2 linked regions of the Elephas maximus indicus genome follow. The protein of the gene in region 1 purifies or fractionates together with the protein of each later gene. This does not show direct contact. Links are inferred from orthologs where the notes say so. Each region holds a gene or a part of one and is shown in the gene's direction. Other genes may lie near its edges. The genes, in order: BBS7 and BBS4.

The links.
Region 2: the proteins of BBS7 (region 1) and BBS4 purify together in Homo sapiens (co-immunoprecipitation; 7 studies listed by BioGRID and IntAct, counting the BioPlex papers as one, with this or other methods). This does not show direct contact. The link is inferred for Elephas maximus indicus from reciprocal best matches to the Homo sapiens genes BBS7 and BBS4.

The regions. Positions count from the first base shown.
Region 1 is NC_064823.1:25,331,562-25,347,546, forward strand, and holds the start of BBS7 (Bardet-Biedl syndrome 7 protein), read left to right. Parts: upstream 1-8,852; 5' UTR 8,853-9,014; coding exon 9,015-9,050; intron 9,051-10,749; coding exon 10,750-10,815; intron 10,816-15,985.
Region 2 is NC_064831.1:62,864,511-62,880,254, forward strand, and holds the start of BBS4 (Bardet-Biedl syndrome 4 protein), read left to right. Parts: upstream 1-7,342; 5' UTR 7,343-7,372; coding exon 7,373-7,396; intron 7,397-12,985; coding exon 12,986-13,037; intron 13,038-15,744.

The DNA.
Region 1 (15,985 bases):
ATTAATAAGCTGCAAGAATCCATAGAGAGACAGCATGTAGAAATCCAAAAGATTAACAATAAAATTACAGAATTAGACAACGCAATAGGAAGTCAGAGGAGCAGACTCGAGCAATTAGAATGCAGACTGGGACATCTGGAGGACCAGGGAATCAACACTAACATAGCTGAAAAAAAATCAGATAAAAGAATATAAAAAAATGAAGAAACCCTAAGAATCATGTGGGACTCTATCAAGAAGGATAACCTGCGGGTGATTGGAGTCCCAGAACAGGGAGGAGGGACAGAAAACACAGAGAAAATAGTTGAAGAACTCCTGACACAAAACTTCCCTGACATCATGAAAGAAGAAAGGATATCTATCCAAGATGCTCATCGAACCCCATTTAAGATTGATCCAAAAAGAAAAACACCAAGACATATTATCATCAAACTCGCCAAAACCAAAGATAAACAGAAAATTTTAAAAGGAGCCAGGGAGAAAAGAAAGGTTTCCTTCAAGGGAGAATCAATAAGAATAAGTTCAGACTACTCAGCAGAAACCATGCAGGCAAGAAGGGAATGGGACGACATATACAGAACACTCAAGGAGAAAAACTGCCAGCCAAGGATCATATATCCAGCAAAAGTCTCTCTGAAATATGAAGGCGAAATTAAGATATTTACAGATAAACACAAGTTTAGAGAATTTGCAAAAACCAAACCAAAACTACAAGAAATACTAAAGGATATTGTTTGGTCAGAGAACCAATAATATCAGATATCAGCACAACACAAGGTCACAAAACAGAACGTCCTGATATCAACTCAAATAGGGAAATCACAAAAACAAACAAATTAAGATTAATTAAAAAAAAATACACATAACAGGGAATCATGGAAGTCAATAGGTAAAAGATCAAAATAATCAAAAAGAGGGACTAAATACAGGAGGCATTGAACTGCCACATGGAGAGTGATACAAGGCGATATAGAACAATACAAGTTAGGTTTTTACTTAGAAAAATAGGGGTAAATAATAAGGTAACCACAAAAAGGTATAACAACTCTATAACTCAAGATAAAAACCAAGAAACATGTAACGACTCAACTAACATAAAGTCAAACACTATGAAAATGAGGATCTCACAATTTACTAAGAAAAACGCCTCGACACAAAAAAGTATGTGGAAAAATGAAATTGTCAACAACACACATAAAAAGGCATCAAAATGACAGCACTAAAAACTTATTTATCTATAATTACGCTGAATGTAAATGGACTAAATGCACCAATAAAGAGACAGAGAGTCACAGACTGGATAAAGAACCACGATCCATCTATATGCTGCCTACAAGAGACACACCTTAGACTTAGAGACACAAACAAACTAAAACTCAAAGGATGGAAAAAAATATATCAAGCAAACAATAAGCAAAAAAGAAGAGGAGTAGCAATATTAATTTCTGACAAAATAGACTTTAGACTTAAATCCACCACAAAGGATAAAGAAGGACACTACATAATGATAAAAAGGACAATTGATCAGGAAGACATAACCATATTAAATATTTATGAACCCAATGATAGGGCTGCAAGATACATAAATCAAATTTTAACAGAACTGAAAAGTGAGATAGACACCTCCACAATTATAGTAGGAGACTTCAACACACCACTTTCGGAGAAAGACAGGACATCCAGTAAGAAGCTCAATAGAGACACGGAAGACCTAATTACAACAATCAACCAACTTGACCTCATTGACTTATACAGAACTCTCCACCCAACTGCTGCAAAATATACTTTTTTTTCTAGCGCACATGGAACATTCTCTAGAATAGACCACATATTAGGTCATAAAACAAACCTTTGCAGAGTCCAAAACATCGAAATATTACAAAGCATCTTCTCAGACCACAAGGCAATAAAACTAGAGATCAATAACAGAAAAACTAGGGAAAAGAAATCAAATACTTGGAAACTGAACAATACCCTCCTGAAAAAAGACTGGGTTATAGAAGACTTCAAGGAGGGAATAAGGAAATTCATAGAAAGCAACGAGAATGAAAATACTTCCTATCAAAACCTCTGGGACACAGCAAAAGCAGTGCTCAGAGGCCAATTTATATCAATAAATGCACACATACAAAAAGAAGAAAGAGCCAAAATCAGAGAACTGTCCCTACAACGTGAACAAATAGAAAGTGAGCAACAAAAGAATCCATCAGGCACCAGAAGAAAACAAATAATAAAAATTAGAGCTGAACTAAATGAATTAGAGAACAGAAAAACAATTGAAAGAATTAACAAAGCCAAAAGCTGGTTCTTTGAAAAAATTAACAAAATTGATAAACCATTGGCCTGACTGACTAAAGAAATACAGGAAACAAATAACCCGAATAAGAAACGAGAAGGACCACATCACAACAGAACCAAATGAAATTAAAAGAATCATTTCAGATTATTATGAAAAATTGTACTCTAACAAATTTGAAAACCTAGAAGAAATGGATGAATTCCTGGAAAAACACTACCTACCTAAACTAACACATTCAGAAGTAGAACAACTAAATAGACCCATAACAAAAAAAGAGATTGAAACGGTAATCAAAAAACTCCCAACAAAAAAAAGCCCTGGCCCGGACGGCTTCACTGCAGAGTTCTACAAAACATTCAGAGAAGAGTTAACACGACTACTTCTGAAGGTATTCCAAAGCATAGAAAATGACGGAATACTACCCAACTCATTCTATGAACCCACCATCTCCCTGATACCAAAACCAGGTAAAGACATTACAAAAAAAGAAAATTATAGACCTATATCCCTCATGAACATAGATGCAAAAATCCTCAACAAAATTCTAGCCAATAGAATCCAACAACACATCAAAAAAATAATTCACCATGATCAAGTGGGATTTATACCAGGTATGCAAGGCTGGTTTAATATCAGAAAAACCATTAATGTAATCCATCACATAAATAAAACAAAAGACAAAAACCACATGATCTTATCAATTGATGCAGAAAAGGCATTTGACAAAGTCCAACACTCATTTATGATAAAAACTCTTACCAAAATAGGAATTGAAGGAAAATTCCTCAACATAATAAAGGGCATCTATGCAGAGCCCACAGCCAATATCACTCTAAATGGAGAGAACCTGAAAGCATTTCCCTTGAGAACGGGAACCAGACAAGGATGCCCTTTATCACCGCTCTTATTCAACATCGTGCTAGAAGTCCTAGCCAGGGCAATTAGGCTAGACAAAGAAATAAAAGATATCCGGATTGGCAAGGAAGAAGTAAAGTTATCACTATTTGCAGATGACATGATTATATACACAGAAAACCCTAAGGAATCCTCCAGAAAACTACTGAAACTAATAGAAGAGTTTGGCAGAGTCTCAGGTTATAAAATAAACATACAAAAATCACTTGGATTCCTCTATATCAACAAAAAGAACACCGAAGGGGAAATCACCAAATCAATACCATTCACAGTAGCCCCCAAGAAGATAAGATACTTAGGAATAAATCTTACCAAGGATGTAAAAGACCTATACAAAGAAAACTACAAAGCTCTACTCTAAGAAATTCAAAAGGACATACTTAAGTGGAAAAACATACCTTGCTCATGGATAGGAAGACTTAACATTGTAAAAATGTCTATTCTACCAAAAGCCATCTATACATTTAACGCACTTCCGATCCAAATTCCAATGTCATATTTTAAGGAGATAGAGAAACAAATCACCCATTTCATATGGAAGGGAAAGAAGCCCTGGATAAGCAAAGCACTACTGAAAAAGAAGAAGAAAGTCGGAGGCCTCACTTTACCTGATTTCAGAACCAGATACAGCCACAGTAGTCAAAACAGCCTGGTACTGGCACAACAACAGGCACATAGACCAATGGAACAGAATTGAGAACCCAGACATAGATCCATCCACGTATGAGCAGCTGATATTTGACAAAGGACCAGTGTCAATTAATTGGGGAAAAGAAAGCCTTTTTAACAAATGGTGCTGGCATAACTGGATATTCATTTGCAAAAAAATGAAACAGGACCCATACCTTACACCATGCACAAAAACTAACTCCAAGTGGATCAAAGACCTAAACATAAAGACTAAAACGATAAAGATCATGGAAGAAAAAATTGGAACAACCCTAGGAGCCCTAATACAAGGCATAAACAGAATACAAAACATTACCAAAAATGATGAAGAGAAACCAGATAACTGGGAGCTCCTAAAAATCAAACACCTATGCTCATCTAAAGACTTCACCAAAAGAGTAAAAAGACCACCTACAGACTGGGAAAGAATTTTCAGCTATGACATCTCCGACCAGCGCCTGATCTCTAAAATCTACATGATTCTGTCAAAACTCAACCACAAAAAGACAAACAACCCAATCAAGAAGTGGGCAAAGGATATGAACACACATTTCACTAAAGAAGATATTCAGGCAGCCAACAGATACATGAGAAAATGCTCACGATCATTAGCCATTACAGAAATGCAAATTAAAACTACGATGAGATTCCATTTCACACCGGCAAGGCTGGCATTAATCCAAAAAACACAAAATAATAAATGTTGGAGAGGCTGCGGAGACATTGGAACTCTTATACACTGCTGGTGGGAATGTAAAATGGTACAACCACTTTGGAAATCTATCTGGCGTTATCTTAAACAGTTAGAAATAGAACTACCATACAACCCTGAAATCCCACTCCTGGGAATATACCCTAGAGATACAAGAGCCTTCATACAAACAGATATATGCACACCCATGTTTATTGCAGCTCTGTTTACAATAGCAAAAAGTTGGAAGCAACCAAGGTGTCCATCAACGGATGAATGGGTAAATAAATTGTGGTATATTCACACAATGGAATACTACGCATCGATAAAGAACAGTGACGAATCTGTGAAACATTTCATAACATGGAGGAACCTGGAAGGCATTATGCTGAGCGAAATCAGTCAGAGGCAAAAGGACGAATATTGTATAAGACCACTATTATAAGATCTTGAGTAATAGTAAACGTGAGAAGAACACATACTTTTGTGGTTACGAGGGGGGGAGGGAGGGAGGGTCGGAGAGGGTTTTTTATTGATTAATCGGTAGATAAGAAATGCTTTAGGTGAAGGGAAAGACAACACTCAATACATGGAAGGTCAGCTCAATTGGACTGGACCAAATGCAAAGAAGTTTCCGGGATAAAATGAATGCTTCAAAAGTCAGCGGAGCAAGGGCGGGGGTCTGGGGAACATGGTTTGCAGGGACTTCTAAGTCAATTGGCAAAATAATTCTATTATGAAATCATTCTGCATCCCACTTTGAAATGTGGCGTCTGGGGTCTTAAATGCTAACAAGCGGCCATCTAAGATGCATCAATTGGTCTCAACCCACCTGGAGCAAAGGAAAATGAAGAACACCAAGGCCACACGACAACTAAGAGCCCAAGAGACAGAAAGGGCCACATGAACCAGAGACCTACATCATCCTGAGACCAGAAGAACTAGTTGGTGCCCGGCCACAATCGACGTCTGCCCTGACAGGGAGCACAGCAGAGGACCCCTGAGGGAGCAGGAGATCAGTGGGATACAGACCCCAAATTCTCATAAAAAGACCAAACTTAATGGTCTGAATGAGACTAGAGGAATCCCGGCAGCCATGGTCCCCAGACCTTCTGTTGGCACAGGACAGGAACCATTCCTGAAGACAACTCATCAGACATGAAAGGGACTGGTCAGCGGGTGGGAGAGAGACGCTGATGAAGAGTTAGCTAATTATAGCAGGTGGACACTTGAGATTGTGTTGGCAACTCTTGTCTGGAGTGGAGATGGGAGGAGAGAGAGAGAGAGAAGCGGGCAAAATTGTCACGAAAGGAGAGACTGAAAGGGCTGACTCAAGAAGGGGAGAGCAAGTGGGAGTAGGGAGTGAGATGTATGTGAACTTATATGTGACAGACTGATTGGATTTGTAAACGTTCACTTGAAACTTTAATAAAAGTTAATAAAAAAAATAAAAAAATGGAAATTTTTATTACAAATTATGCAAGCATTTTATGGAAACAGAAAAAATAGGGGGTGAAAGCCCATAATCTTTCAATTAATAACCAACTAAAACTTCCTAATGTATTTCTCAACAGTCCTTTCACGTAATTGTGGTCATAGTATACACACCATTTTATTTCCTGCCTTTTAACTTATCCGTATAACTGGAATGCTTTTCACATTGCTATACAGCCTTCATTATTTTCACTTGTATATAGTCCACAGAGTCGATGCACCATTCCCCCATTATTGGACAGTTAGGTCCCTAATTTAAAGATTGTTTCAATTATGACTTCTTAACTACTTCCTGTTGTTTTCATAGACTAAATATTCAGAGTTAGGTTTATGGGGTAAAAGGTTAGGTTTATAGGTTGCCATGCCTATTGCTAAAGTGACTTTGAAAAAGGTTTTATTACTAGTTTATGCCATCACAAGCAGTTGATGAGTGTGTCTTACAGCATACAGTGTTATCATTTAAACCTACATTCCAATTTGAAAGGCAAAATAGAAAGACATCCTGCTTTGATATGATTGATTACAGTGAGAGTAGTAGTTTTCTACATGTTTGTTCAGTAGTCACCTCTTTTGTGAACTGTCTATTCATATCGTTACCTGTTCATTTATTGGAGTCATAGTATTTCTTAATTTTATTAATTTGTTTAAAGAAGTTAACTCTTTGTAAATGTTTTCCCAAATTTTTGTTAATTTTTTTTTTATTTTTGTGACATAGAAATGATTCATCATTACTTCTCATATCTGATTTTGTTTGTGGTTTCTTGTATTCCCTCTGAGACGAGACAATTCCCTTCCAACATATTAAATTCTATAAAATTCTACACAATTTTATTTCCTCTGATCTCCTGTATGGTTTTACTTCTCTATTAACTTCTAAAATTTCTCTGATAAGTATTTTTCTGTAAAGTCTAAATTGATAGATGTATTTTCCCCAAATTGCTGAACAGGTAACCCATCCTCATGTATTGTTGTCTGTTATTTTAGCCTCAGAAAAGGAATTGGCCAGAACACCCTGGAAAAACCCTAGGCAAAAATCTTCTCAGATCCTTCTGCAGGAATTCAGTTCTCTTCCTAATTTCACTTTTTCTCAGGGATTTAATTCTTCTTGTGTTGTTTCACAATCATTTGTGAACCCTCCTCTGTAGTAGATCACAGAAATCAGGAAAAGGGCTCTATCATATTCATCTGAATTTTGACAGGCAGATCGCGTTGTGAACTAAGGAAGAATTGACAAAAGTGAGTCAAGGAATGTCAGCTCTCAGTCAGATTCTAGGTCACTATAAAAAAAAAAAAGGCCAGTGATGTTCAAAGTGTAGTCTGCAGACCCCTGGGGTTCTCTTAGGCCTTTTCTGGGGTCTGCAATTTTGAAACTATCTTCATAGTAACACAAAGACATTATTTGCCTTTTTCGCTGTGTTGACATTTGCACTGATGGTACAAAAGCAATGGAGGTTAAGACTGCTGGCGCCTAAGTATGAATCAAGACGATGTCTCCAAACTGTATTAGTAGGCACTGTATCCTTCATGCCACACACTGGCAGGAAACCAAATAAGGTTTTATATGAACATGGCCTTCATGGAGCAGTAAAGATTGTTAACTTTAAGCCTCAATTTGAGTACATGTCTTTTTTTTTTTTTAATATTGTGGGATGACATGGGAAGTACGCATAAAGCACTTCTGCTGAATACTGAAGTACATTGTCTCAAGGAAATGCACTTGTGTGATTATATGAGTTGCTAGCAGAACTCTGCTGTTTTCATGGAACATTAGTTTTATTTCAAAGAACGACTGACAAACTAAGATTATTTGGACTTGTTATTTAGCATACGTTTTCTCATTAATTCAAGAAGGAACCTATCGGCTCAAGGAAAACAACTGACATTTGTCGCCCATGCTTAAAATTCGGGTTTTCAAGTATAAATTAGAATTTTGGAAAATTTGTATCTACCATATGAGTTTGACAGCTTTCCCATGCTTCAAGAATTTTCTGATGAGATTTGTGGCGGTTTTAACAAATAGGATTTTTTGATACTGTATCATGAAGCCAGACTCCGTATTGCAACTAACCTTTCAAAAACGACTACTTGACTAGTTTGGACCAAATTTTCTCCATATACTTCAACAAAAATAACAAATAGCAATAGATAGAATGCAGAAGCAGATCTGGGACTCCTGCTGTCTACTACTAAGGCAAACAATAAATAGAGGCAAACAACGCCATTCTTTTTATTTTGGAAACTGTATTTTTCATTAAAATGTAATCTATGCAATGGGTTTATTTTTAATGAATTAAAAAATTTTTCAGCTCTAATTTCTAATACAGTAAATATCAGTAGAAAACTCACATGAACAAAAATTCTTTGGGGTCCTCAATAGTTTTAAGGGTTTTGTAAAAAAGCCCTGAGGGCAGAATTTTGAGAACTGCTATTGTAAGCTAACGCTTATAACGGTGGAGCCGAATTCTTCCCTTCGCACTAACGAAGTGAAGTAGGTTAGAGTCGACCGGGGACTCAAACCTGAGCTCCACACAGCAGGAGGCATGCTCTGAGGGAAAGAGCTAGGAAAGCAGGGCAAAGGGAAAGGGCTGGAGCCAAGACTGCGTCTCTTGTCTCCCTGGAAACCGCCCTACCTTGGTCCCCTGGACCGTGTCCTGCGTTCCTCACCGCCTCTGATTGGAGCAGGTTAAGGTAGTAGGCGGGCTGTGGGCGCGTGGGCGGGGCGTATTTTCGTCCAGGGACTACTCACGTGAACGTACTGACGTCACGACCGACGCTGCTGCCCCGACGCCCTACCCCTGCATCCCCCGCCGGAGGCCGCGGTACGTGGGCTTGCACCTCAGAGGGGGACGCGGGCGGCCTTCGTCGCCGGGTCCGAGGCCTGAGGGCCCGCAGCGCCTGTCTTTCCTGTTCTGGCCCGGCGCTGCCCGGCGCGTCAGTGCAGCCGTCATGGATCTGAATTTAAACCGAGCAGATTATTTACAGGTAAATCCGAGGGGGTGGGGCAAGCGCCGCGCTGGCTGAGCTTCGCGCCCTGAGAGGATTCGTTCTTCCACAGACCTCTGTCCGGGTCTCCCGGTGCGGACGCGGGCTGGGCGCGAAAGAGCCCGGCCGGGCACCGCCCTCCCGGCGACCCTCTCGCGGGGAGCGGGCAGGTCCGGCTGGTGGGTGACGGTCCGCTGGGACTTGGAAAGAAGTGACACACGCCCCCGCGGACCTGGCGCCTGCTGAGGGTGCTCTCCCCGGATTTCGCTTTAGGGCCCTTTTCCTCCGCCTTCCCGGCTGCGGCTCCCTGTGGGCCTGAAGCTCCCTGATCTGTCTCTACCCCGCACCTTCTCCCGAGCGCCAGACCCATGGTCCCAACTTTGAGCCGGACAGCACCAGGCAGATCATAAGAAAAGCAGTGGCAACCCATTAGTGATCATCTAGTTCATTCTAAGAGTTTTACGTAAATATTTAGTCCTCATAAAAGATTCTGCAAAGTGGATAGTCTTAACAGATGAGGATCCAGGGGCTTAGAGAAGGTAAGCAGTTTGCTTAATACCAGAAATGATGGAGAGTCTCTATTTGAAACAAAGTCTTGGATTCCACAGTTTTTCTTTCTCTTACACCACATTTTCTCTCAGGATTTCTTTCAGCCTCCTCGAAATAGATCTAAGACTGAATTCGTTATCTGTCTCTCCCATCTCCTCTATTTAGATTAATAGTACAAATGGTTGCCCAGTCAGTTTCCCTCAAGCTAGAAATTTGGGAGTCATGCTAGGTACTCTCACCTTAATCTCTTACACGTTGAACTGGCCACCATATCTTGCTGCTTTTATGTTCTAAATGTTTCTTCAATCTGTCCCATTCCCCCCATGGCCATTACCCCAGTTCAGATTGTCATCTTCTCTGGCTTGGATAATTGAAATAACCTCCTAACTGGGCTCCTGGCCTGCAGTTTCACCTACCTTCAGTCCATTCTTCGCATTACTTGCTAGACTGGTATTCCAAAAATACAAATCTAAAGAGATTATTACCTTAAATGTTAATACTACACCCCAGAATGCAGAATAAAATCATAGATCTGTATTACATGTAAGTTCTTTCATAGTTCTTTCCTAATCTTTTTTTTCTCCAGCTTCTCTCTCAATAGCCCTATACTTCTCATCTAAGTATATACCACTAGTGACAGTTCCCTGCTGAACAAGCCATGGTGTTTTCATCCTCCCTACCTTACGTAAAATAATCTTTACCATTAGTTAGATTGGATGTTATCAAGTCATCAGCATGTCTGGTACTTTAGCAAAATTTTTCTGTTTCGTTTTTAATAAAGCTAATCTATTTCCAAAGATTTTTAATCACTTAAAAAAACTCTTTAACAAGTAGTATGAATTTATAAAAAAGGCTTCTAGAAGTATTGTTTTGTGAAGCACCTTACCAGTAATGCCACATAATTATTTTTGGCTTGACAACTCTCTGGATATATTTTGCTATTTTTGGTTATTTTCCTATATTCTCTCTTTTGTGACATAATTCATTAGAATATAAGTTTGTCATTGATAATAATAGTTACATCATTAATTGCAGTTTAAAAAAAAGACTCACTGTGATATGAAACTGGTGATTCTTTTACATCTGATGTAATAACTTCAAATTGCAGTGCATAAGAGAACATTTAGCAAATGCTGGTGTGTTTTCTTAGGTAGGAGTGACCGCTCAGAAGACTATGAAGCTACTTCCTGCCTCAAAACATAGAGCTACACAAAAGGTACTGTATGGATAATGTTTTACAGAGAAAGATTTATATTTCCTTCATCATTGTTAAGTTGCTTTTTTAAAAATGCTAATAGTAAATTGGAACTGAATTTCTTGTTATTTGAACAGAGGTCAGAATACCAAGGGTCATTTACACACAATAATTTTCTTGCACATTATAATTGCATTATGTGTAATTAGTAAATCATATTAGCAAACCAGTTAAAAACCATAATATAGTTTTTTCTGCTAATAATTTACTCTGTGTGTATCATATTGTGTATATGGAGAAGGAAATGTAAAATAGGATATAGACAAAATGATTTCTTTAAACTTTCTCATATCTCTAAGAGGAATTGAAACTTTAAGTAAATAATTACACACATTTGTGTTTAATAGTATCATTATTTTTATAGAAATACTTATCTTATGATTTCTGCAATTACAATTTCTTAGTATGGAGCCCTTGTGGCGCAGCCATTAAGAGCTCAGCTACTAACCAAAAGGTCAGCAGTTCGAATCCACCAGCTACTCCTTGGATACCCTATGGGGCAGCTCTACTCTGTCCTGTAGAGTTGCTTTGAGTTGGAATTGAGTTGAAAGCACCGGGTTTGGTTTTGGGGGGGTTTTAGTAGGCTAATAGGATATTTTAATAGCTTCAAAGTGAGTACGGTATATATCAAGATACAGCAGTAGGTTTCTGATTGTCATTTATTGTATTCAGCCTATTAGATCAATGATTCACAAACTTCTGGGTCTCAGGATCCCTTTACACTCTTAAATTACTGATGATCTTAAAGAACTTTTGTTTATATAGATTATATCCATTAATACTTATATAAAAATTAAAACTGAGAATTGTTTAAAATACTAATTATTTTATTTGAAAATAATAAATCCATTGCATGTTTATATAATCATTTTTGTGAAAAGAAGGTATTTTCTAAAACAAAAAAAGAATTTAGCAGGAAGAAAGGCATTGCTTTATATTTTAATATAATGCCTGGTAGCAAAGACAGCCGAATGCTCATTTATTTTCTGTATTCAGTGTGTTGTGATACCTTGTTTTGGTTGAAGTGTATGAAGAAAATCTGGGTCATACAGATGTGTAGTTGATAAAAGGAAGCAGTATTTAAATACCTTGACCTACGATAGTTTCTTTAGGTGCCATGTGGAATCTGAAATCATGTTGATGAACTTTTCATACTCTGTTACATTAATATCCATTGGTCTGTCTCGCACTTTGAATCTTTTAAAAACCCTGCATGATTTTATTGCACCCTCGATGATTTGAGATTATTGGTTCATCAAGTTATACAGATCTTCCAAATATTGATACATTTCATTATGTTGTTGTTGTAGTTGTTATGTGCCATCAAGTCAATTCTGAGTCATGTTGTTGTTGGTAGGTGCCATCAAATCAGAATAGCAACCTTATAGGAGAGAGTAGAACCGCCCCATAGGGCTTCCAAGAGAGTGCCTGGTGGATTTGAACTACTGATCTTTTGGTTAGCAGCAGAGCTCTTAACCACTATGCCACCAGGGCTCCTTCCAACTCATAGGGACCCTGTGTGACAGAGTAGAACTGCCCCATAGGGTTTCCAGAACATGCTCAGGATTTCTCAAGCTGAAAGAACTGAAGAAAGAATTCAAGCCTCGAGTTGCAGTACTGAAGAATGCTACGGGGAAAATATTTATTGATGCAGGAAGCATCAAAAGAAGATGGAAAGAATGCACAAAACACTATACCAAAAAGAATTGGTCAATGTTCAACGTTTTCAAGAGGTAACATGATCAGGAACTAATGATATTGAAGGAAGAAGTCCAAGTTGCACTGAAGGCATTGGCGAAAAACAAGGCTCCAGGAATCGATGGAATACCAGTTGAGATGTTTCAACAAATGAATGCAGCACTGAAAGTACTCACTCGTCTATTCCAAGAAATTTGGAAGACAGCTACCTGGCCAACCAACTGGAAGAGATCTGTATTTATGCCTATTCCCAAGAAAGGTGGTCCAACCAAATGCAGAAATTATCAGACAATATCATTAATATCACACACAAGCAAAATTTTGCTGAAGATTATTCAAAAGTGGCTGCAGCAGTAAATCAACAGGGAGGTGCCAGAAATTCAAGCCGGATTTAAAAGAGGACATGGAACTAGCGATATCATTGCTAATGTCAGATGGATCCTGGCTGAAAGCAGAGAATACCAGAAAGATGTTTACCTGTGTTGTATTGACTATGATAAGGCATTCAACTCTGTGGATCATAACAAATTATGGATAACATTGCAGAGAATGGGAATTCCAGAACTTTCAATTGTGCTCATAAGGAATCTGTATGTGGATCAAGAGGCAGTTGTTCAAATAGAAGAAGGGGATGCTGTATGGTTTAAAATCAGGGAAGGTGCGTCAGGGTTGTATCCTTTCACCATACCTATTCAGTCTGTGTGCTGAACAAATAATCCAAGAAGCTGGACTATATGAAGGGCATCAGGATTGGAGGAAGACTCGTTAACAACCTGTGTTATGCAGATGATATGACCTTCCTTGCTGAAAGTGAAGAGGACTTGAAGCACTTACTGATGAAGATCAAAGACCACAGCCTTCAGTATGCATTACACCTCAACATAAAAAAAGCAAAAATCCTCACAACTGGATCAATAAGCAACATCATGATAAACGGAGAAAAGATTGATGTTGTCAAGGATTTCATTTTACTTAGATCCACAACCAACACCCATGGAAGCAGCAGTCAAGAAATCAAAAGACACATTGCATTGGGCAAATCTGCTGCAAAAGAGCTCTTTAAAATGTTGAAAAACAAAGATGTCACCTGGAGGACTAAGGTGCACCTGACCCAAGCCGTGGTGTTTTCAATTGCCTCATATGCATGGGAAAGCTGAACAAAGAATAAGGAAGACAGAAGAATTGACGCTTTTGCATTGTGGTGTTGGCAAGGAATATTGAACATACCGTGGACTGCCAAAAGAACGAACAAATCTGTCTTGGACGAAGTAAACCAGAGTGCTCCTTAGAAGCAAGGATGGCGAGACTGGGTCTTAAATACTTTGGACATATTGCCAGGAGGTATCAGTCCCTGGAGAATGACATCATACTTGGTAAAGTAGAGGGTCAGCCAAAAAGAGCAAGACCCTCAACAGGTTAGACTGACGCAGTGGCTGCAACAGTGGGCACAAGCAGAGCAACAATTGTGAGAATGGTGCAGGACCAGGCAGTGTTTCTTCCTGTTGTGCACAGGGCCGCTATGAGTCAGAACCGACTGGGCAGCACCTGACAACAACAACAATCTTTACAGAAACAGATTGCTACATCTTTTTCCTGAGGAGCTGCTAGTGCGTCGAACTACCGGCCTTTTGGTTAGCAGCCTAGTGATTAACCACTGTACCCCGCAGGGCTCCTTATTGATTTCACCAGAAAAATCAGTAAGTGTTGGGAAGCTGTCAGGCTCACAGTAGCAGATACAAATCTTCCAAAATACTGATTTTCACTTGAAATTTCAAGTGTTATCGATGGCAACAAATACTGTCAGTTTTTTCCTTCAAAGTGACAGGCTCACTTCCTTCAGTTTCAAGAAAATGCTGAATACCCAAGTGTTAATAACTATAGCTCTTAGTTGTTCTTTCAAGTTAAGGTGATGTTTCTTGAAAAAAAACAGGTAGTTCAACTCGTAATTCAGTTACACAGTGCTTTTCCTTGAGACTGTTTTGGTATGCAGCAGAAGTGCTTTTTGCATAGCTCCTATTTCATCATAGTAAGTACTAAAAAGACAAGTACTCATGGGTCGGAGTTTAATAAAATTAATATGTTTTACTGCTTCCACAAGGGTATTCTTATGTGAAACTGGCATTTTTTCTTTTTTTTAGCTATCAAATGGTGATGAAAAATGCAGTGACCACTGGTACAGTTTGGTGTCATTGTTTTGACTCTTATCAGTCATCAACAATTCTTTACCCACCATTGCTTTTTTGCAGGAGCCCTGGTGGCACCGTGGTTAAGCACAAAGCTGCTAATCAAAGGATCAGCTGTTCTAACCCACCAGCCAGTCTGTGGGAGAAAGATGTGGCGGTCTGCTCCCATAAAGATTACAGCCTTGGAAACCTTCTGGTGTAGTTCTGCCCTTCCTGTAGAGTCACCATGAGTTGGAATTGACTCAGTGGCAACAGATTTGGTTTTTATTTTTGGCTTATTGCTCTTGCACCATCAGTGCAGACATCAACCTAATGAAGACAAAGACTTAATATTATTTAAAAATAGTTTCGACCTTGCAGACCCCCTAAAACAGTCTTGGTGGCCCTGTGAGTCCTGGGACCACACTTTGAGAATCTCTGTAATAAATTTTAGGTATGTAAATTATGGAAGTGGTTTATTGTCAGAAATTCAAAACTTTGAACATTATATGTATTTTCATCTCAAGTCTCTGCCAATACCAAAGATCCCCTGAAAATACGTACATAATTATTTGTGAATGTGCATTGCTCTGGGGAGGGAGTCTGTAGCTTTCATCATATACTAAAAAAGGTTTTGATCCCTTCAGAAAGTTAAGAAATCACCGCCTGATGAACATGTCCTGTGAAATAATCAATGTTTTGATATTCGAGACTTGTTTTATATCCTAATGCATTGTCAGTTTTCTAATGTTCTTGTGTGCTCAAAAAGAACATTTATAATTCTTAGGGTGGGTGTTTATACACACACGTACACATATATACTTATGTGCACATATATATTAGATCAGAGGTAATTGTTTTTCTAATTTATATCTTTATCCTTTGTCTACTTGATCATCAGTTTTTGAAAAAAAAAAAAGTGTTGACATCTACTTCTATATTTATTTCTGTAGGGTTGCCATGAGAAATAAATATAGAGGTACATATTCCAAAAAAATAAGAAAGGCAAACCCATGGCCACTGAGTTGATTCTGACTCATAGTGACCCTATATGATAGAGTAGAACTGCCCCATAGGGTTTCCAAGGAGCAGCTGGTGGTAAATTGTCAACCTTTTGGTTAGTAACTGAGTTCTTAACCACTGCGCCACCAGGGCTCCAATCCAACTCTTTTTCAGAAATTGATAATCAAGTAGAAAAAAGGTAAGTGTGTAAATTAGAAAAACAATTATCTTTGATCTAATATATATATTATTTTTTTATATACACGTAT
Region 2 (15,744 bases), on another chromosome or scaffold:
TCAGAAAACATTCCCCTTGAGAACGGGGCCCAGACGAGGATGCCCTTTATCACCACTCTTATTTAACATTGTGCTGGAGGTCCTAACCAGAGCAACAAGGCAAGAAAAAGAAATGAAGGGCATCCAAATTGGTAAGGAAGAAGTAAAAGTATCCCTATTCGCAGATGATATGATCTTATACATACATAACCCCAAAGAATCTACAAGAAAACTACTGGAACTAATAGAAGATTTCAGCAAAGTATCAGGATACAAGATAAACATACAAAAATCAGTTGGATTCCTCTACACCAACAAAAAGGAAATCACCAAATCAATACCATTTACGATAGCCCCCAAGAAGATAAAATACTCAGGAATAAACCTAACCAGAAATGTAAAAGACCTATACAAAGAAAACTATAAGACACTATTGCAAGAAACCAAAAGAGACCTACAAAAGTGGAAAAACAACCATGCTCATGGGTATGAAGACTCAACATCGTGAAAATGTCACTTCTACCCAAAGCGACCTACAGATACAATGCAATCCTGATTCAACTTCCAGTGGCACTTTTTAACGAGATGTAGAAACAAATTGCAAACTTCATATGGAAAGGGAGGAGGCCCCAGATAAATAAAGCATCACTGAGAAAGAAAAACAAAGTGGGAGGCCTCACACTACCTGATTTTAGAAATTATTATACTGCCACGGTAGTCAAAACAGCCTGATACTGGTACAGCAACAGATACATAGACCAATGGAACAAAATTAAGAATCCAGACATAAATTCATCCACTTATGAACAGCCGATATTTGACAAAGGCCCCAAATCTGTTAACTGGGGGAAAAGATAGTCTCTTTAACAAATGGTGCTGGCATAACTGGTTATCCACCTGCAAAAAAATGAAACAAGACCCGTACCTCACACCATGTACAAAAACTAACTCAAAATGGATCAAAGATCTAAATATAAAATCTAAAACAATAACAATCATAGAAGAAAAATAGGGACAACACTAGGAACCTTAATACATGGCATAAGCAGAAAACAAAACATAACTAACGATGCATAAACACCAGAAGAGAAACTAGGTAACTGGGAGCTCCTAAAAATCAAGCACTTAAGCTCATCAAAAGACTTCACCAAAAGAGTAAAAAGAGAACATACAGACTGGGAAAAAATTTTGGCTATGACATATGCAATAAGGGTCTAATGTCTAAAATCTACAAGATACTGCAACACCTCAACAACAAAAAGACAAATAACCCAATTAAAAAATGGGCAAAGTATATGAACAGACACTTTATCAGAGAAGACATTCAGGTGGCTAACAGATACATGAGGAAATGCGCACGATCATTAGCCATTAGAGAAATGCAAATCAAAACTACAATGAGATACCACCTCACCCCAACACAGCTGGCACTAATCCAAAAAAACACAAACTAATAAATGTTGGAGAAGTTGTGGAGAGACTGGAACACTTGTCCACTGCTGGTGGGAATGTAAAATGGTACAACCACTTTGGAAACCGATTTGATGCTTCTTAAAAAGCTAGAAATAGAAGTACCATACGATCCAGCAATCCCACTCCTTGGAATATATATTAGAGAAATAAGAGCCGTCACACGAATAGATCTAGGCACACCCATGTTCATTGTAGCACTGTTCACAATAGCAAAAAACTAGAAACAACCTAGGTGCCCATCAACAGATGAATGGATAAACAAATTATGGTACATGTGCACAATGGGAATACTAGCAACAATAAGGAATAATGATAAATCCAGAAAACATCTGGAGGGCATCATGCTGAGTGAAATTAGTCAGTCACAAAAGGACAAATATTGTATGAGACCACTATTATAAGAACTTAGAACCAAAAAACAAACCCATTGCCATCAAGTCAATTCCGACTCATAGTGGCCCTATAGGACTATAGAGTAGTTCTACTATAGAGTAGAACTGCCCCATAGGGTTTCTTTTTTTCTTTTTTTAAAATTTTTATTGTGCTTTAAGTGAAAGTTTACAAATCAAGTCAGTCTCTCACACAAAAACTTATATACACCTTGCTACATACTCCCAATTGCCCCATAGGGTTTCCAAGGAGCACCTGGTGGATTCGAACTGCCAACCTTTTGGCTAGCAGCTGTAGCTCTTAACCACTATGTCACCAGGGTTTCCATAAGAACTCAAGAAAAGGTTTAAACACAGAAGAAAACATTCTTTGATGGTTACCAGGGTAGAGAGAGAGGGAGAACAGAATTCACTAACTAGATAGTAGACAAGAATCATCTTAGGTGATACTCCACTGGTCTCACCCCATTGGGAGCAAGAGAGAATGAAGAAAACTAAAGACACAAGGGAAAAATTAGTCCAAAGGACTAATGGACCACAAGACTCAGTCCAGCACAACTAAGTGGTACCCGACTACCACCACCGACTGCTCTGACAGGGATCACAATAGAAGGTCCTGAATAGAGCTGGAGAAAAACATAGAACAAAATTCTAACTCACAAAAGAAGACCAGACATACTGGCTTGATAGAGACTGGAGAAACCCCAAGAGTATGGCCCCCAGACACCCTTTTAGCTCAGTAATGAAGTCACTCCTCAGGTTCACTCTTCAGCCAAAGATTAGACAGGCCCATAAAACAAAATGAGACTAAAGGGGCACACCAGCCCAGGGGCAAGGACTAGAAGGCAGGAGGAGACAGGAAAACTGATAATAGGTAACCCAGGGTCGAGTAGGGAGAGTGTTGACATGTCATAGGGCTGGTAACCAATATCACAAAACAATACTTGTATTGTTTAATGAGAACCTAGTTTGTTCTATAAACCTTCATCTAAAGCATAATAATAAATAAAAGAAAAAAATAGAGTCATCTTAGGTGAAGGGATGGCCCACATATAATACAAAGAAAGTCAGCACAACCGGACTAAAGCAAAAGCTAAGAAGTTTCCTGAACAGAACCAAACACTTTGAGAGACACAGTAGCTGGGGCTGGGGTCTGGGGACCATCTAGGTCAACTGGCATAATAAAATTGATTAAGAAAATGTTCTGCATCCCACTTTGGTGAGTGGCATCTGGGGTTTTAAAAGCTCTGTGAGTGACCATCTAAGATGCATCAATTGGTCCCAATCTGCTTGGAACAAAGGAGAATGAAGAACACCAAATACACAAGGAAAATATTAGCCCAAGAGACAAAAGGGCCACATAAACCAAAGATTCCATCAACCTGTGACCAGAAGAACTAGATGGTGCCCAGCTACCACCAATGACTGTCCTGACAGGGAACACAAAAAATGGTCCCCGACAGAGTGGGAGAAAAGTTTGGAGCAGAACTCAAACTCACATTAAAAAAAGACAGACTTAATGATCTTGACTGAGACTGAAGGAACCCCCAAAGCCATGGCCCCCGGACTCTCTGTTAACCCTGAACTAAAACCATTCCCAAAGCCCACTCTTCAGACGAAGAGTAGACTGAGCTATAAAATAATACTCATGAAGAGTGTGCTTCTTAGTTCAAGCAGATCTACAAGACCAAATTGGTGACTCCTTTCTGGAAGCAGGATGAGAAGGCATGAAAGGACAGGAGTTGGTTGGATGGATACAGGAAAACCAGGGTGGAAAGGGAGAGTGTGCTGTCACTTTATAGGGATTGCAACTAGTGTCACATAACAATATGTATATAAGTTTTTGTATGAGAAATTAAGCTATAAACTTTCACCTAAAGCACACACACAAAAAGAGTACAAAAAAATACAATAAGACAAATAAAAATGATAACTATGATAAAGCAAACTCTTCCTTTGTTATTTGCATGGAAAAAGAGGACATTAAAACAAGAGTTAATATCACAGTGTAATAAAGAAAGCCACCATAAGAAAACCAGTAATCAGGAAACAAAGTCCAAAAATTTCAGTAGGTTGCATGAAATCTTGTTCTGTGATCTTGGGAGGAGCTGTGTACTTTGACACCATCTGGTTCTGGCCACAAGGGTGTTTGAACTTCAGTTTAAATCCTTCAGTAGGTTTAACAGTCCAGGCAGGGGCTTCAGCTTTCTCAAGTTGGGATAACCCTGCTTCCACTCCCCTCCCCCCAGAAAAACCCTAAACGCATTGCCGTCAAGTCAATTCTGACTCATAGTCAGCCTATAGGACAGAGTAGAACTGCTCCATAGGGTTTCCAAGGAGTGGATGGTGGATCTGAACTGCCAAACTTTTGGTTAGTGGCCAAGCTATTACCCACTGTGGCACCGGAGCCCCTAATTTGGGATAAGCAGATCCAAATTTTAACCTCCTATAATTTAGCAGCACAAGGGTTAGTGACAAAGACCAAAGACAGTCCTGTCCAATGAGACTCCAGGGAATCTTGTAATTGGTGCCTCTTTTAGTATACACAGTCACCTGGTTCAATAGTAGGTAATTTTTGTATTTCTAAATTTTGCCTGTCAAAAGCTTGTTTGATTCAGAAAAGGTGCTCTTTAGAGTACTGAATCAAAGACTGACAATATTTAAATAATTCTGGTTGAACTAAATTAGAATCAGAATAAGATGAAAAGTAAAAATGAGCCATAGGTCTTCCAGTAATAATTTCATGTAGGGTTAATTTATGTAACCCAATGGAGTGGATCTCAAATTTAGAAGGACTAATGGAAGGACCTTAGTCCAGGATAAGCTTAAGGACTCAGAAAGCTTGACTAATTGAGTTTTTATTATTTCATTAGTTTTTTTCTACTTAGCCCATAAGATTGTGGATGGTAAGGGCAGTGAAATCTTTGATAAATACGAAAAATCTTACATATTTCTTTAATTACTTGTTCAGTAAAATGGGTTCCCCTGTCACTGCAATGAATTGTAGGTTCTCCCCAAGTGGGGTTATGTTTTCAAGAAGTTTCTTAGCTACAAAGGTTGTAGCTGCATGGTGGCTAGGAAAATCTACTCTATGTGAAAATCTGAAAATCATCACTACTACGTATTTGCAACTATTTGAAGGTGGGAGCTGGATAAAATCTAATTGCCATTCAAGCATAGGTCCTGAAGGTAATGAGCATTTCCCAGGTGAAACTTTAAAAGGTTTGTCTGGGTTATAGCGAGAACATATAGAGCAATGAGAGGCAGCCTCAAAAAACTGTCCCCACCAATACTTCTTTTTCTGTCTCAGGACAACTTGGGTAGTTGGGACAGAAATTTGACATTGCAATTCCTTATTTTGTTTAGTTAATTTAGCAGAGAAACTATTTTACTCTTATCACATATTCTAGATACTGCAAAATACCAATTAAAATAAGCATCCCATTGTTTTTGTTCCATTTGCGAGCCTTTCTTTTCTAGTTTACTGCACAAAAAACTCTGTTTAATTATGGCCACATATTTTTTCAGACTGTCCTTAGAAAGACTATGCTAAGCAGCAGGTACAAGCAGGCAGCAGAGCCACAGTGCTTGTCCATATATCAGACAGGAGTCCCAGAAGGGAATTCCATATAGCCCCTAGATATGGCATTTCCCTTTTTAAAAGAAGGTTCAAGTTTGTTCAAAGTTTTAGACTCTCTGACTGGACAAAATCTTATGGAGCCTGATATATCACAAACTTGAAATCCTGTAGGACAGCAATTTGCCAACTGGCCCAGAACCTCACACTACTGCCACTAGCAGAGGCAAATTCTTGCAAGAACAAAGTCAGAACAAAATTAGACAGATCCTTCAACAAATCTCAAAGAGCTCAACACAAGAAAGCAGAGCTTGGAATTTGAGAGGCCTTACTCTAACTACTCCCCAAAATTTGTGGAGACGGATGAATGCAATGAGCTCATGTTGGTGACAGAGCTCAAGGTCCTCAACCTCTTAGGATCACTGAAGATAAGGCCCCTTTGAATCCTACTTCCAACACCAAGGAATGTCGAAAAGGAACTGGAATCCCTGTTAAAATTAAAGCAAAGAGTTTCATTAAAGGAATAAAATGATTTGGATTGGGCATCACTTTGTGAAGGTTCACAAAAGTGCTCCAGTGAAAGGATTTTTTCACAGAGTTTAAGTACAGAAAGTCCAGGAACTTACAAGGAACAAATTCTGATTGGTTGACACAAAATAATGATTTAACAGGCACCAGACAATTGCAAGATCCCTTAAGCATTGTTTTGTTAATCATAAAGTTTCAGTTAACCTCTTGTTAACCTATGGATATCTGGGGGGGCAGCTTGAGTGTGTATTCTTCCTGGAATAATGCTGTGAGAGGGAGGGGAGAGACCGCAGCCTTCCTGAAGTATTCTGGCTTAGCTGACTTTTTGAGATTCAGCTCAGAATGAGGAGTAAATAATGGAGTCCGGCCTACATCTTTTGCAGAAAACTCTCCTCATGCCAAGCACCTAGATTTTTGGGGCTCTTTCATAACTCTACAGTTGGTTCTCTGGGTGCAGGAACTCTGTATGTTTTGTTCATCACATAATTCTGGCACTTGTTGAATGAATGAGGCTCAGAGAAATGACTGGCTGAGGTATAATCAAGACCAGAACTCATGTTTGACTCCCAAGCCCACAGTTTTCCCAGGATAATACAGTGAAGAAACTTTAGCATTTAATTCACCACATCTGGGTCCAGATAGGTAAAGGAAACTGGGGTATGTGCTGCAAAGTAAGGACTGTGCCAAAACAGCCAACAAACGCTTATCTTAAGTCGGAGCCGCTACTCATACTCATTTCATTGCCATGTAGGAAAGTACGCCTATTATCTGCTCTTCTATTTATCCCGAGACTGGGTTTCTGGCATTCTGATGAAACCTCATGATTTTAATATATTTCCAAAAAGCAAGACTGTGGCTCAAACACAGCGTGTTTTCAAACAGGCATAGATACTAATGGGAGGCCGATGAGGCGAATTTGTCTGCAGGATATTGGCAGCTAAGAAACGAAGAGGTTTTGTATGTAAGAGTAGATGAGACTCTGCCATAGGCCCGGGATTGGGGGGCGGGACTCCCGGATGGAGGACTGCAGTAAACGCAGAGCGAGGCCAGAGCAGGGCAGCGAAAGAAGGCCCGAGAACTCCCAAAGACTCGCTGCAGTGCTAGGTGAGGCTGGCCATGTGCACTCGCGCGGCCCAGGGTTTCTCTAGCAGCCTCCCGACTTTAGTGTGGGCATTAGGAGATGCCCAGAATAAAGGGAAAGACTAGGTCCTTCAGAGCCAAGCCTCCAGTAGGGTGGACCCCGACCCCCTCCCAGCTTCCTGAGGTCTCTTGGTCTCCCAGCCGCAGTCTCAGGCTCTGCCACCTACTTCCTTTCCTGCTAGGCTACCCGCCTCATCCGCCGCCGTCCCCAGTCCCACGACTTCCGTTTGCCTAGTCGCCTTGGAAACAGTCGATTTCCGGTCGCGCAGCAGTGGGCGGAGCCAAGATGGCCGAGGAGCGACCTGTGACGGTGAGCGCTGTGATTCTCCGTAGAGTCCAGGCCGCCAGGCAGGGCTGGGCAGGGCAGGGCTGGGCAGGGCCGGGCCGGGCCGGGAGGCGAGACAGGCTGGCCAGCGCTGGGCCCTGGCTCCGGGCCTTAGTCCCACGCAGCCGCTCCTGAGGCTTTGCGGAGTCGGATCCTGAGCTGCTCGGGGTGGGTGGGGCGACGCGATCCCGCTCCTGCTCCCCCAGGGTCTGGCCAGCCCCGACGGGCCCGAATCTGCTGCGGCGGATCCCTTCTAGCACTCTGGTCCCCCTTGGGCTTCGCTGGGCTGAAAAGCGAGATTTTCACCAGAAATGGCTCTTTTCCTAGCTCCGTCTTCTCTGTCTCACGTGGTTTGGAATGGAAGCAGTACTGCACATGAAGAGACAAGTTTTTGTTAATCCCCTGGATTAGGAATTTAATTTGACAAAGCCTGCACGTTTTCATAGCCACTGCCTTCTGCCGGTGGGGTGGGGCCGGTTTTCTCTGTTGTGATTGAGAAAAGCACTGTTTTGGGATTCATTGGAGGCTAAATTAGGTGTTGATTAAACTCTACGGAGCTGCTGATACAGAGTAAAAAGTAGCCCAGATAAATTCAGATGACCCAGTAGTAAGTGGAAGTAATTTGTAAAAAGTCCCAAGTGTGAAACCTTTATCGGTCTACCTTGCTTTAGTGTATTGGGCTTCAGAGCACGTTCCGCCTATTTGTTAGGCTGATTTCAGAATTTATTACCCTTGGAAAAAGTCCCTGGAAGACATAAAACAAACAAACAAACCAACACCAAACCCGTTGCGGTCGAGTCGATTCCGAGTCATAGTGACCCTAATGGGCAGAGTAGAACTGCCCCGGAGAGTTTCCAAGGAGCGCCTAGTGGATTCGAACTGCTGACCTTTTGGTTAGCAGCTGGAGCTCTTAACCACTAGCCACCAGGGTTTCCGTAGGAGGTAATAAAATAGCAGCCTTTGGCTGAGTGATGGGAGATCTCCCAGTATAACTGAGTGAAACTAACCCAATTTGGATCACACAGAAATTCTAATATGCTACCAGGCAACTTACGGGTTATTACTAGTTCCTTAGGGAGGAAAATGGAGACCGATAGTTATATTTTGTACAAGGATATATAATAAATTGTTTAGAGTTCTACAAAAAAAGGGGGGGGGAGCACAAATAGCTCTGTTTTAAGTTGAACAAAGATCTTAGATAACCATGATTTAGAAATTCTTTTATGACTCCCTAATTCACATTATATGAGATATTTGTATGAATAAATGTCTTTTCACCTGTAAATTAAACGATTAAAACCTTTCGGAACGGGGTGGGGGGAATAAAAAACATTAGCACTGCATTGGCTGATCTGGCTCAGATACAGTGCTCCATGAATATTTGTTGTGTGAATAAATAACCATACATAAAAATGAAGAAAGAACCAAAAAATAGAAGGGATTTATTCCATGTGTATCCCAGACTCTGAATGAGGTTAAGTGAGCTGATAGAAATCTTTCCATTTCAGAATGTTCTGGAAAGTCTTTTGAGGAAAAATACTCATTTAAATTATTATAATTTTTGTAGCTTAAAAAAAAAGTTTCCACTGTGGCTAAATATATGTAGCAAGAAATTTCAACAATTTTTATGAGTCTGGTGACATTAATTACATTCATGATGTCATGCAACAGTCACCGCTGTTTCCACGTTTTTCATCACCCTTAAAAAAAAAAAAAAACCGAAAAACTATACCCCTTAAGCAGTACCACCCTTTTTCCCCCTTCCACCCAGCCCTGGTAACCACTGATGAACTTTGGCCTCTATGATTATAACTTATTTTAATTCTACTTTGTGCAAAAAGTAGGGAATTAATCATGAAGCTAGAGGAGACGCTTTTTGAACTCTTAAGATTTTTTCCTTAGTATGTTCCCCAAAGTAAACAAACAAACAAACAAAAAACCCAGTTAGGTGAAAAAAAAAAGTTTAAGTTCTTTAGTGTTTTAAATACAGCTTTATTGAGGTATAATACACATGCCATAAAATTAACCCATTTTAAGTGTACAGTTTGATCAATTTTAGTAAATTTATATAGTTGCACAGTTGTCAACACAGCCCACTTTAGAACATGTCCCTCACTCCAAAAAGTTCCCTTGTGCCCATTTGCACCCATTTTCTATTCCCAAGCCAGCTCCTGCTTGTCTGCTTTCTGTCTCTATAAATAAAAAGCCAAAGCAGTTGCCCTTCAGTCAGTTCTAACTCATGGTGACCCCATGTGTTGCAGGGTAGAACTGCACTCCATAGAGTTTTAAAGGCTATGACCTTTCGGAAGCACATTGCCAGGCCTTTCTTCCAAGGTGCCTCTGGGTAGGTTCGAACCGCCAACCTTTTGGTTAACCATTTGTGCCACCCAGGGATTCCTATAGGTTTTCTTTTTCTAGAAATTTCAAATAAATCATATGACATGTAGTCTTATGTGTCTAGCTTTCACTTTTGTTTTTGAGGTTCATCTGTGTTGTTACGTACAGCAGTAATTTGTTCCTTTCTAAGTAGCGTTCCATCGTATGGATGTATACATTTGTTTATACATTCACCATTTCATGGCTATTTGGATTGTTTCGTGTTTATGGCTATTATGAATAATGTTGGTATGAATGTTGGTAACCAGCCTTTCTATGGACATGTTTTCATTTCACTCGGGTAGATTCCTAGGAGTGGAGTTGCTGAGTTGTATGCGAAGTGTATGTTTAAGAAAACACCAGCAATGGTTTAAGAAAATAGTTTCAAGTAACAAAAGATTTAAGAAGAAAATTGCTTCCTAAGATTTGATTTAATTTTATTTAATTCAGTACTTTTACTCTAGTAATTGGTGCAAACCCCCACAAACACCACAGGGAACAACAGTGTTTTGTGGGCATGGGTTTGAAAACTTTTTTAGGCATTGGAAAGGCAGTCAAGAATTTTAAGTGGCGAATAACACCATCAAATTTATGTTTTTGGCTGGAAAGATCACTTGATGTTAGAGGATGGTATGGAGAGAGGAGATATGTAATGGTTAAAACACAGATTCAGATTAAAAAAAAAAAAAACAAACCCGTTGCCACCTAGTTGATTCCAACTCATAGCAACCCTGTAGGACAGCATAGAACTGTCCCATAGGGTTTCCAGGGAGCGGTTGGTGGATTTGAACTGCCAGCCGTTTGGTTAGCAGCTTAACACTTAACCAGTGTGTCACCGGGGCTCCAGATGCAGACTGCCAGAATCCAAATCCCAGCACTGTTGTTTATAAATTGGATGAGCTGGGACAAAGTACTTAATTTCTCTGGCCTCAATTTCTTCATCTGTAAAATGGGGTCAGTGATTAGTACCAGCTTCATAGGGGTTCTTTTTTTTTTTTATTGTACTTTAGATGAAGGTTTATAGAACAAACTAGCTTCTCATTAATAGTTTGTAGTTAGAGCATTTCTAGTGATTTTTTCTCTAAGTGTTTTAAAGTTTTACCTTTTCCATTTTAGTCTTCAATCTGTCTTAATCAAATTTCATTTTCCTGATGAAGCTTTTTCCCTTAACATCTATTTTGTCTGATTTTAATATTGCAACTTTGGTTTTCTTTTTGTTTCTGTTTGCCTGGTATATCTTTTTGTATCCATTTGCTTTTTAAATTTTTTCTCATGTTTTAGATGTCTTTATACAAATAGCACATGTTTAGATATTTTTAAAGCCATCCTGAGAATATGTCTTCTAACTGGAGAATTTTCTTTTTTTCCTTCTCCCTTGCTTCTTTTTTACGGCTGAGTTTTTTTGTTTGTTTGCTTTTCCCCCGTTTAAGTCCCTCTCCTAGTTTGAAAGTTATATACTCTATTTGTCTTCCTTTAGTGGTTAACAAAGAAAGTTTAAAGTTTAAATTTAAGACATTTAACTTAAATTACTTAATTTATAAAACTTGCTTTCATACTTAATTACAAAAAACTTAGTACTGTTTATTCTCATTTGGATAATACAGGGACTATTGAATGTTTTATCTGCGGGTTTATGCTGTTGTTCAGTTTTGTAGTTCTTTGTATTTTTCAATTCAACATCACAAATTTACATTACTGTTTTTTTTTTGTTTATTTAGTCAGTCAGCTTACAGAATATTTACATGTTTTATCAATTTCTTTACTCGTTCTACTCATGAGTTCTGGGGTTACTCTTTTTCTTCCTGGTATGTATCTTTTAAAAGTTTATTTAGTACGTGTCTAAAAACTCGCAAATTTTATTTGTCTGGAAGTCTTTCAATTTACCTTTGTTTTTTAAAGTTAATTTTGATGGGTATGAGAGCCTAGATCAGGGGTCAGAAAACTTAGTGTGTAAAAGATCAAATAATAGTATTTTGGGGTTTGTCCAGTTTCCAACACAACTAAACTATGCCATTGTGCGTGAAAGCAGCCATGGACAGTATATAAATATAGGAGCATGGCTGTGTTCCAATAAAATTTCATTTCTAGACCCTGAAATATGAACTTTATTTAATTCTCATATGTTACAAAATATTTTTATTTTTCTCAACCATTAAAAAAATATAAAAAGACATTCTTAGCTCACACAATGTATTAAAAAACAGGCTAAATTTGACCCACAGGCCATAGTTTGCTGAATCCTGGCCTACGTTAAAATTCATTTTTACTTAGCACTTAACACACGGAGTCCATTGTCTTCCATTTTTAGTTGTTGAGAAGTCAGCTCTCAGTCCAACTGTCCTTTTTTTGTAAGGTAACATGGTGATGTTTTTTTGCTTTGGCTGCTTTTAAGAACTTTTCTTTGTCTCTAGTGCAGTTCCCTGTGATGTATCTAAGTGTGGATTTATTTATATTTAATCTGATCAAGATTTGTTGAGCATCCAGAATCTAAGGATTGGTGTCCCTCATTTTTCTGGAAAATTTTCAGCCATTATTTTTGCTTACATAGGAGGTTGATACAAGAAGAATCTATTTGAAGGTTTTCTGTGAAGTGGGAGAGTAAGCTAGTATCTATTATGTCTTAGAATTTAGTGCTAGGTAACTTCTATGTAGATGACCTCGTAAGCTTCCTCTTACCAAACAGTGATCGCTTTTTTGGTTTGACTGCTGAAAAGTATAGCAGTAAGTATAATACTAAAATGAAGTGTCTGAGAACTTAGTACATTTATTTGTGCATCTTTTACTATATAATTTTTTATATATTATAAATAAGGAACTCTGGTGGTGCAACTGTGAAGCATTTAGCTGCTAACCGAAAGGTTGGCGGTGGCTGGTGATCTGTTCCTGTAGAGATTACAGCCTCAGAAACCTTATGGAGCAGTTCTGTGCTTCACATGGGGTTGCTATGAGTCGAAAATCGACTTGACGGCACCCAACAACGATGTTGTAAGTATACATTATACATTATTAATAGTTCAGACAGCGAAAGTACAACTTGACACTTGGCTTTTAAACTATGTTCAGAATAATTCTTTGTACCTCTGTGAAGTTCATGGATTCATTGCATCTTTGGTGAGCCACTGATTATTCCTATTATTTGAACGCCTCTTTAAGGTAGCAGGGTATATGGTGCTTTAACGTAGACTTCTGTCCTTTCAGAGAACTCAGCCTCCTGCATCTGTTGAATCTCAAAAACCCCGGCTGAAGAAAGGTCTGTATAGCGGTTTCATTGTATGTGCGTGTTTGTACAGATTTCCCTTTGCCTGTTTGATTTTTCTATTCTATATTCATTAGAGCTTTTAAAATCTGAGTGTTAAGGAACAGTGGTAATACGCTCTTCTGTATTGATTGAAGTTTTTATAAAGTACGTATTATTTTAAAAAAGTTATATTCTAAAAATAAACAGGAAACCCCAAGCTAACCTGTAACCCAACAGTTACTTTTACAGGAATTTACTGTAAACCAGTAAGATTGCAAGCATAAATGTTTATTTTGATGTTCATATTAGTAGAAATGGAAAATAATAAATATCCAACATAAGGAATTAGATTATTACTCCCACAAAATGCAATACTGTATAATCATTTAAGAATGATATAATAGTAATAAATTTATTGATGTTTAGCATGTATTAAAATAAAAAGCAGTTTTAAAACTGTATGTGATATGATTTGTTTTTATAGAATTAAAAGTTGTAGAAATTGAGAACATTACAGATATTCTGAAAATATGTCATTTTCGGTGCTCTAGAAGACCATTCCACATATGTGTGTATAAATATATATATTGTTGTTGTTAGGTGCCATAGAGTTGATTTTGAGTCATAGCAACCCCATGCGACAGAGTAGAACTGCCCCATAGGGTTTCCTAGGCTGTGATCTTTATAGGAGCAGATGGCCAGGTCTTCTCCCATAGAGCTGCTGGGTGGGTTCAGACCACCAACCTTTTGGTTAGCAGCCGAGATGAAATTTGTAATTCTCATCTAGTTTATGATACATGGAGACCTGGTAGCACAGTGGTTAAGAGCTTGACTGCTAACCAAAAGGTCAGCAGTTTGAATCCACCAGCCACTCCTTGAAGACCCAACAGGACAGTTCTCTTCTGTTCTGTAGGGCCACTGTGAGTTGGAATTGACTCCATGGCAACAGGTTTGGTTTTTGGTGTTTTTTATGCTATAGAACATCACCAGCACCCCAGAGGCTTCCCTAATGCCCCCTCCCAGTCATTAATCACTCCTACCAAAGGTGGATATTTGTGTCTAATAACTTTTTTCATACATATCATATGGTATATGATTAGTTTTGCCTGCTTTGGAACTTAATATAAATGGAGTCAAACAATATGTACTCTTTTACGCCTGGCTTCTTTGCCCCAAATAATGTTTGTGAGATTCATCAATATTGTTGCGTGTAGTTTTTTTTTTTTTTTTTTTTCATTGTTACATTTCATTGTAGGGCTGTACAACAGTTTATTCATTTTACTCTTGATGGACATTTGAATTGTTTTAATTTGGGATATTGTGTATAGTGCCACCATGAAGAGTCTTGTACTTGATTTTTGGTAAGCATATGTACCTAGAAGTAGGATTGCTGGGTCATAGGAAAGGATATATTTAAGTTCAGTAAATCTTACCAAACGATTTTCTGAACGTTTAGTATAATACCGTTTGTGTAAAATTAAAGAGTATAAACACACACACAAGCATGTATAGGATATGGATACAGACTTAGGGTATGTATATATTGCATGGAAAAAAAATCCTACTTGTCCGACACCAACTGCTGGGAAAATTATATCCTACGTATCACACCACCTATGTTGATCAATCCAAATCAATTTATTATCGATTCAGTTCCCCTCTTTTCCACTTCTGTTCTTATGCAAGCTGCATATGCAGTATTCCTTCTTTTGTCCCTAACCATCTGGTGCTAGGTCAGAACTCACAAGATAAAGGGCCCAGTCGTCCAGACTGTCAAGTCTGCCCAAGACTTCAGACACTAGATGCAAGCTTGGGAGTACTCATGAGATCCTCACGCGTGACCTGCTGGATACAAATTAGGAGGTTCTCTCCACCCCCTTGGGATACCAGTTGTAGGTCAGGCATCTCCAACCCCCTCACTTTTGACGTGCTGGCTCCCACTACTCTCTCAGGTTTGACAATTTGCAAGAATGACTTAACAGAACTCATGGAAAGCTGTATACTTATTTATTTTTTACATTTGTATTTTTTTTTATTGTGCTTTAAGTGAAAGTTTACAATTAAGTCAGTTTCTCATATAAGAACTTATACACACATTGTTATGTGACCCTAGTTGCTTTCCCTACAATGTGACAGCACACTCCTCCTCACCACCCTGTATTTCCCATGTCCATTCAACCAGCTCCTGTCCCCTTCTGCCTTCTCATCTCGCCTCCAGACGGGAGCTGCCCATTTAGTCACATGTATCTACTTGAGCCAAGAAGCACACTCTTTACCAGTATCATTTTATGTCTTACAGTCCAGTCTAATCTTTGTCTGAGGAGTTGGCTTTGGGAATGGTTTTAGTTCTGGGCTAACAGAGTCCGGAAGCCATGTCTTCTGGGGTCCGTTCAGTCTCAGACCATCAAGTCTGGCTTTTTTTTTTTTTTTTACTAGAATTTGAGTTCTGCATCCCAGCTTCTCCTGTTCCATCAGGGACTATCTGTTGTGTTCCCTGTCAGGGCAGTCATTGGTGGCAGTTGGGCACCATCTAGTTCTTTGAAAGTGGTATACTTATGATTACAGTTTCATTATAGCAAAAAAGATACAAATGAAGAGGTGCATAGGGCAAGGTCTGGGAGCATTCCTAATGAGGAGCTTCCATGTCCCAAAAAGAGATCCACTGCCCTCTCATATGTGCCAGTGTCTTTCACCAGGAAGCCCATAGAGAACCTCCATT